Drosophila melanogaster: one gene and its partner. Changing the gene in region 2 together with the main gene of any one other region gives a genetic interaction. Each region holds a gene or a part of one and is shown on either strand. Other genes may lie near its edges.

What was found.
Region 1: of Hsp26 (region 2) and Nmnat, changing one suppresses a phenotype caused by changing the other (phenotypic suppression), as found in Drosophila melanogaster (one study listed by BioGRID).

The regions. Positions count from the first base shown.
Region 1 is NT_033777.3:24,943,518-24,947,925, reverse strand, and holds Nmnat (nicotinamide mononucleotide adenylyltransferase), read right to left. Parts: upstream 2,690-4,408; 5' UTR 2,669-2,689; coding exon 2,473-2,668; intron 2,401-2,472; coding exon 1,994-2,400; intron 1,943-1,993; coding exon 1,841-1,942; intron 1,783-1,840; coding exon 1,631-1,782; intron 1,451-1,630; coding exon of another isoform or gene 1,414-1,450; exon of another isoform or gene 1,093-1,413; intron 1,043-1,092; coding exon 772-1,042; intron 664-771; coding exon 622-663; 3' UTR 526-621; downstream 1-525. Other genes in the region: mah (mahogany), read right to left, coding at 1-294; ssh (slingshot), read left to right, coding at 4,277-4,336, 4,405-4,408. UniProt on the Drosophila melanogaster protein: Catalyzes the formation of NAD(+) from nicotinamide mononucleotide (NMN) and ATP. Essential for viability.
Region 2 is NT_037436.4:9,375,876-9,379,162, forward strand, and holds Hsp26 (heat shock protein 26), read right to left. Parts: upstream 1,553-3,287; 5' UTR 1,314-1,552; coding exon 687-1,313; 3' UTR 543-686; downstream 1-542. Other genes in the region: CG4461 (uncharacterized protein), read left to right, coding at 1-211; Hsp67Ba (heat shock gene 67Ba), read right to left, coding at 2,227-3,287.

The DNA of each region.
Region 1 (4,408 bases), on a different chromosome or scaffold from region 2:
GATGCCAAAGTATCCAAGTTTCACCAGCAATGCCGGCAGCGTGACAAATGGGAAGATGCCAAACAAATCCACCACGTACAGGATGGCGATGAAAAGCGAAAGGTTCTCCGGTTCGTCCTCGTAGGCGCGGAAATGGGGAAGGGCGCTGAACCGCGATCTTCGCAGGAAGGGCAACTGGTCGTGCTGATGCGAGGGCGTTAGCTGGACAGGAGGCCGACGCTTTGGAAGCGCAAAGGACGGAGCGCGCGAAGGGCGTGGCGCGGGTTTAGCATTCTGGCGACGGAAGAAGAACATTCGCGATGTGGACTCTTCCAAGGGAAGCAAGCAACTGCAGTCCCTCTAAGCTTAAACTAATGGTGGCCACTCTCGCCTGCAACTGGCATATTACCATCAACAAGTTCTGACATCAGACACCAAAGCGAAGCCCTGCAACGACTGCAATGTCAATGCACGTCGCCTGAAGTTCAATGCCTTGTCCCTCCACTCCGTGAAGTGACCCACAAAAGCATGGGCAGCCGTCAACTTGGTAACGAACGTGTTTATTTTGCATATTTATATAATATCAACAAATAGCTTCCAGCGCCCCTGTCTTAATCCGCGTGAGATTCGTCTTCCAGTTTCCTAAAGTTGCACTTGGGAAATCTTCTGCTTCTTTGCTTGGCTCTGAAAGAGGGGAATTGATTAGAAGGATCTAAACATAAGTTTGAAAGCAAAACTCTGGATTCCATCTATGTATGAAATGCAATGGATACAGCGGTTAAGGATACCCACCTCCTCTTTCTCATCTGCCTGCATGGTGATGACCTGCACCGCTTGTCCAGGACCGGATCGCAGCACCTTGGATCCACGTAAAGGCACCTCCCCGCAGCAGAAAACCCGCGACGTAGGCGTATGCTGCAGTTGCGGGCTTGGAGTGTCCGACTCGTCCATGTCCTGCTCCAGCTGGTCGCCTATAGAGTAGCTGTTCGCGTTCTTGTTGTTGTCCGTATAGGCGTGGTTAAAGAGCAAATGGTTGGGACGCACCGCATCCGTTATATACTTACTACATTCCATGGGTTAGGCGGGCATGGTCAGTACAATAGCAACAAAGTTAAGGTTATTGTTTAATGGGACTACATTTTGGCAACAATTCGGTGTAAGTAGATGATACGCACACTGACCACCGCAAAACTATGGCTAATTTAACAAGGGTATTTACAAGGGCTAAGATTGGGCAAAAATAAACATGCATTAAAGGAATCACTGCTAAATAGGAACTTGAACTCGGATCTGCTCTGCTCACTCACGCTCCATGAAGAGGCGCCACGGCTCAAACAGCTTATGGTGCTGGTGGGGCAAGTGGTGCGATTTGCGGTGCTGGTGGGTTGGAAAGCGTGTGGGCGACGAGGGCTTCTTTTTCACGTGCAAAGCGCGTCAAGAGTCGCATTCGGTCGGAGCCGGTGCATCCCGCCTGCAGTTTAAGACATAAAAGGAAACAATACAAAGACTGCTGGTGGTGCACGTTAAGTGTGTTCTCTGCTGTGTGAAATGGATTAAGGTGGCGCCTCATTCAGTGTACGTATCGTTTGAAAGATGGGTAATTGTAAGTGAACATGCAGGATTAAGGGGAGGTAACAGGAAGACCACCTACGATTTAAAGTTAAACAATCGTTGGCGCTTGATGTACTCCAGCACCAGATCGTCTAGAAGGTACTTGACCGACTGGCCGCGTCCTAAGAGCCGCCGAATCAACGTGGAGCTCACCTCATTAGGCACCCAGTTGGTGATTAGCGTAATGTTGCTCTGAAATGTGAATGGAAATGAATAAGAAATAATGTTGTCGAGGTACTGTCTCTCTAACCTGATACTTGGTCAATATGTCGGAGTCAAAGATGAATTTTCCTGGGTTTGAGCCGGCCCGGGTGATAACTACCAAACCATGGTTAGCCACAATGTCCTCAATCTGGGAACAATCATATAAAAAAAGGTACTATTCAAATATATCAAGACTTACATCGGCCTCTGCCCATAGGCCTGGAACAGCAAAGGACTCCAGCAGATCGGCACCGCACAGTAGCTTCAGATGTACAGGATCCCGACTGTCGTGCAACCCACGAGGCAGCCATCCGGGTAGATGTGTGTTCTCCCCGTCATCTCCGCCTCCCCCGCCGGAATTTATGTGGTTATTGATATAGTTCTGGTGGTGCTGGAGCACCGCCTGCGTGCGCATCCACTGATTCTGGTGCACCTCCCAATCGGACAACCGAATCCAATTGGAGCTCTGGGTGGCCAGCTTGACCATGGCACATCTGTCCAAGGCGGAGGCCAGACCCTTTTTGCCATATGAGTCGTGCGTGGGCGAGATGATGCCACCTACCACTCTGTGGGTTCCCTGCATTTCGAAGTGGTCCTTGGCTATCTCTGTTGACAAAAACATGCCGCGTAATTTTATCGATTATGTACCGCAGAATTTCACAATCTAGTTTAACTCACCGAACATCCGAAGGTGCATGGGTGTGGGTGGACTGAAGCATCCGCAGGCTATGAAGGCGATCCGCGGCAGCAGGCTTTTTGTTTCCTCGATGAATGCTGACATTTTCTTCGATTTTGAGCGTCTTTTAAAAGATCCAAACCGCCGGAAGCATTCGCTTGTTATGTTGTTCTTGGGCCAGCTGATTTTCACAATCATCTGTTCGGCTTGTTGTTATTTTCCAACACTAAACAGCTGTGCAGTGGCTACCACCTCTGACTACCTTTGACTTGTTATTCGATAAATGATAACTTAATGTAACTTAATTTTTTGATTTTTAATCATCAAAAAGGCAAGAGTACATAAAAATGTATTAAAGCCTGTTTTACTGATATATCAAGAAGTATACAAACATCACTGCGTTTCTCATTAATAAGTACTTTTTTCGGTGTACCACACGAACATTGCTTTCGCTTGCGATAGTTAGCCAGCCCTGCCAGAACGATTGCCTGACGATACTAGTGTTATCGATTAGAAATGGCGTCCTCACTGTCTTTCTTTTAAGAAAAATTCGTGTAGTCTATTTACCATTTAGCAGCGTTGTGTGTGTCCGTTAATTGTAAGGACACGCTGTTTCTTAGAGAGAACCGCCTGGCTAGAGTGTCCGGAAAGCGGAAACCAAGACGATCGCAGGACGAGGTCGCGGAGCCGACTGCAAAAACAACGGCCAGCAGGCAGCGATATGAAAATGCATTTGTAGCCTTAGCCCACAACACTTGCACACACACCACACACTCTCGCGCACACTCACACACAGGGAAAAGGAGGTGGAGCAGAAGGAGCCGAAGCAGGAGAGGATTGCAAGGGACACCGCTGCAGCATCGCCATCATCTGCGCCAGGTGGAACACGAGGGTCAAGAGGCGTCGGCGGGGGAGGAGGAGCAGGAGGTGGAGGAGCGGCTGCGGCGACGACGACGACGTCCACGACCACGGCAACAACAAATGGCGCTGGTGACGGTGCAGCGCTCTCCCAGTGTGGCGGGCTCCTGCTCGAATTCGGTGAGAGGAGACTTGATGGTTTTCGCGTGTGCGTATGCGTGTGTGCTTTGTTTTGGTCACCCCCACTCTGCCAGGAGAGCCAATTACGGGCAGGCTCTTTAGTGCGTGTTCCGCTTTTGGCCATGATCCTTTGTGTGCTCGGATGTGCTTTTCATGCCCAATGTTTATCATCCGCCAGCTTGTTGCTTACGCTTTTTGGATTTCGACGTTCAACGTTCGCGTGTGGGCGGTATGAGGCAGCGTCATCATCGTCATCGGCTGTGCTGCGCTGCGCTGCTTTTGGTGTAACCCAAGCAAATCCGCAGACGTCGCGACGTCTATATTTTTCAACAGACTTTTGCATTGCCTTATTTGTCGTTTTTGTCGCTTTCCGCTTACCGCTTGTTTTTGTTTTCTTCGCCGCCCCACCGCCCAAAAATAGTTCGCGAGACCTTGACGTCCGCCTGCACAGAGGGAAAAATTAATATCGGGGGTTGATCAATTTAATTTTACAAAACGTTTTAATTCAGATATGCTCAATATGTCAAATCGGTATTTTTGAACACATAAATTAACATTTTATTATTTCTAAGAAATCAGAAAATATAAAAAAAAAAAAAATACTTCACTAAACCGGAATCTTTTTCGAACTTGTGACCCTTTTCTCAAAATCAGACGGTATTCAGTTGAACAATCAGATTTCTTGGAACTGCAGATACAGCTTTGCTTCTTTTCCGCCCTTGAAGTGTAGACTATAATCAGGAGTTTATCTTACCCCTTTGCAAAATAATGAGCATGCAAGTTTGTTCTTTGCCAGACGACATCCTTATATTTAGCCTAACCCCACGGGTGAGGTGCAGCAGGATAAGGTATTCTTAAACACCGAGTAAACAACTTTCCTTTCTCTATAACATCAGGATG
Region 2 (3,287 bases):
CGAGGGTTCCAATGGCCTGGTGGAGCGGCACTTTGTGAGGAAGTACCTTCTGCCCCGCGGATACAATGCCAATGAGGTAATCTCGGACATATCCAGCGATGGCATCCTCACCATCAAGGCTCCACCACCGCCGCCAGCCAAGTACTACACGCCCGGAGAGAGATTGGTCCGCGTTCATGAAACCGGAAAGCTGGCCCTGCCCTGGAAATAGTGGACCATGTGTCAAAAATCAGGAAGGCAAACAGTGAATGTGTTTTTACCAAACCCAAATCCCAACCATCGAATGCGCCTAACTCAAGGTGAACTATTTTCGGACACCAAGCAATTGCAGCCGAACATTTAAATTGGATTCAAACATAAATAAAATACAAATTGTACCCGTAGTTGATATAATAAATGCGCAATAAATATTTGGTAGAAACACTGGTGTTTACGAATGGGTCTTCACCTCGTCGCGCCCAATTCAAATCTTCAAATCGATATTTCCAAATATTTGCCTCTTTCAAAAACCAACTTTCATATACAAAAGTCACAACAATTTTAATTTTCCACACCAGGTGAACAAAAGGATTTATTAAATTAATATGAGTATTCTAGTCTTTAGCTCATTACAAATACAATGCAATAAATTAGGAACAATTAAGTAGGGGAATGATGATGGATGATGTTGGATGATGATGGCTCCTTTACTTGTCCTTGCCGTTGGGTGCTCCGTTCTCCTTGCCCTTCACCTCGCTTTCATTTGCCTTAACGTTGAGGTGAGCGGGTCCCACTTGCTGAATTTGAATGATGCGCTCCTTGGACTTGTCCTCGACGGCCTGCGGCTTGGGAATACTGACGGTGAGCACGCCATCCGACGACAGCTGCGAGACCACTTGCTCCGCCTTGTAGCCATCGGGAACCTTGTAGCGGCGCACAAAGTGGCGCATGATGTGACCATGGTCGTCCTGGCGTTCCTCATGCTTGCCCTCGACCAAGATGGAGTCGTCCACCACCTTCACGTTGAGCTCACTGGGCTTGAACTGGGCGACGTCCATGCACACCTGGAATCCATCCTTGCCCACATGGGCGGTTGCCGGCCAGTGAATGTCGTTGCGGTTGGCCATCTCGCGCCGCAAAGCCAAAACCTGGCCGGCGGGCGACGATGGGCATATCGGCGATGCGCAAGGGCATCCGTTGATGGAACGGCGCTGCTGAGTGCCAAGGGGCAGCACGTAGCGGGAATGCGGATGCAATCCCAGTCCAAGCTCGTAGATGGGGCTGCGGGGCTCCTGGAGTTCATCCACAAGCGAAAGCAGAGTAGATAGCGACATTTTTACGTTTCCTTTAGGTTATGTTCCTTTTGCGAGATTGAAATATTTTTTCTTTGGTTAAGTTGAATGAACTTGTTTGACTTGTAAGCAAAGGTTTTTAATCCTTTTTTTTCTCGTTTGAAGTTTTGCTTTTGCGCAAAGTTGCTTTGAGTTGTTCACTGCTCGATTTTTGAATTCGATCTGTGCTCTGTTCGTCAAGCGACGCTGCTTTTATACCCGCTGGAGCTTTTCTAGAAGAGTCCGGAAAGTGACAGAAAAAGGAAAGAGTAGAGAGAGAGAAGAGAAGAGAGAGAACGTGCACAGAGAGAAAAAATTATGAATATAGCTTTGTATCGTTTGATAAACGAGGGATCAAATTAGAAATTTCTTTTATAAAAGTCTAAATTGAATGCTGCTCTAAAAACAAAAAATAAAACTAACTAACCTTTCCCAATAAATGCCATGAGTTTCGAGAAATTTTAAATGTAGTTGTTGTCGTACGCGCAAAAGCAGAGCTAGTGCGCCTGTATGAGTGAGAGAGCCGAAGTTTCTAGAGAGTTGTTGCAATTTTCTAGAAAGAGCGCAAAAGAAACAGCCGGCTAACGGCAAACAAAACAAAACGTCAGTTTTTTTTATTCTGGTTTTCCTCTTTATTAAGTACATTATTTCGTGTTTCTGTCTTTAAGTTTTACTGGAATACTTGTAGTTGTTGTCACATATGTTTTTTAGAAAATCATACATACATATAACGCCAGCAATCTCCCACTATTAGTAATTGAGTGCTTTTCCCGTCAGCTTTCTCGCTTCTTTTTTTTTGTGTGAAATGCAAGAAAAGAAAACACAAGAAACACGTATGGAATAAAACGCACGCCTACCCGTGCAGATTATTATTTGTTCTTAATTACTATTTATGTTCTTTCTTTTAGTTCAGTCTTCACTTGGCCAGTTCCTCGGTTTTGGCTGCAGTGGCTCCATTTTCGCCTTGGTTTTTGGCCAGTAGAATGGCCGCATCTACGGCTGCCAGTTCCTCGCCGCCCTTCTCCTCCACTTTCTCTACTTTATCAACCTTCTCCGCCTGCTCCTCTTTGCTGTCTTCCGTGGAGATTTCCGGTTTCTTGGCCAGCGGCATTTCCACATCCTCGGCTGCTGCGACTGCTCCATTGCCGTTATTCGAGGCAACGGGCACTTCGTTGGCATTTGCATCCTCTGCCTTTTGCTCCTCTTCGATGCTTATAACGGGATTGGGTGTGGGTTCATCCACATTGGCAGTCTCTTCGTTTTTGGCCAACGCCACTTCCATGGACTCTGATTCTGGTTCTGCAACGCCATTGTTGGCACTGGAAGTGGTTCCTGCGGTGGAAGGGGCTTCCACTGCAACAGCAGCGGCAGCAGCAGCCTCATTGGAAATGGGGGGCGAAACAGCCGGCATTTCCATCTCTGTCTCTTCCTGACCGTTGCCGTTGCTCTCGGCGAGAGTGAGCGAGAGCGAAGGAGTGGGTGTGGGTGCAGTCGGATTTAAAGTGGAAGTGGTGGCACTAGCTGCCGCCTGCTGCTCTACCTCTGACGGCTTTGGCGGCTGCGCATCCTTATCCTTCTGCTGCTGCGATATCTGCTGGATGTCTACGATGCGCTCCTGTCGTTCCAGGCTGCCTTTGACGACTGGAAGTGGTGGCGGCGCCTTCACCGTCAGAATGCCGTCCGAGGAGAGGGTCGAGTGCACCTCGTTGGGATCATAGCCCTTGGGCAGGATGTACTTGCGGATGAAGTGGCGCGAGATCACCCCGTGGCCATCCTCCTTCTCGTCGTGCTGACCCTCGACCACGATGCAGTTATCGATGGTCTTGACGGTCAGTTCGTTGGCGGCGAACTGCTTCACATTCATGCTCACCTGGAAGCCGTTCCTATTCACCACGGAGTAGGCGGATTTGCTGGCCGCCGGTTGGCCACTGGTGCTGCCGCTTGCCCCGGACGTGCCCTTATCGCCCAATTCCTTTT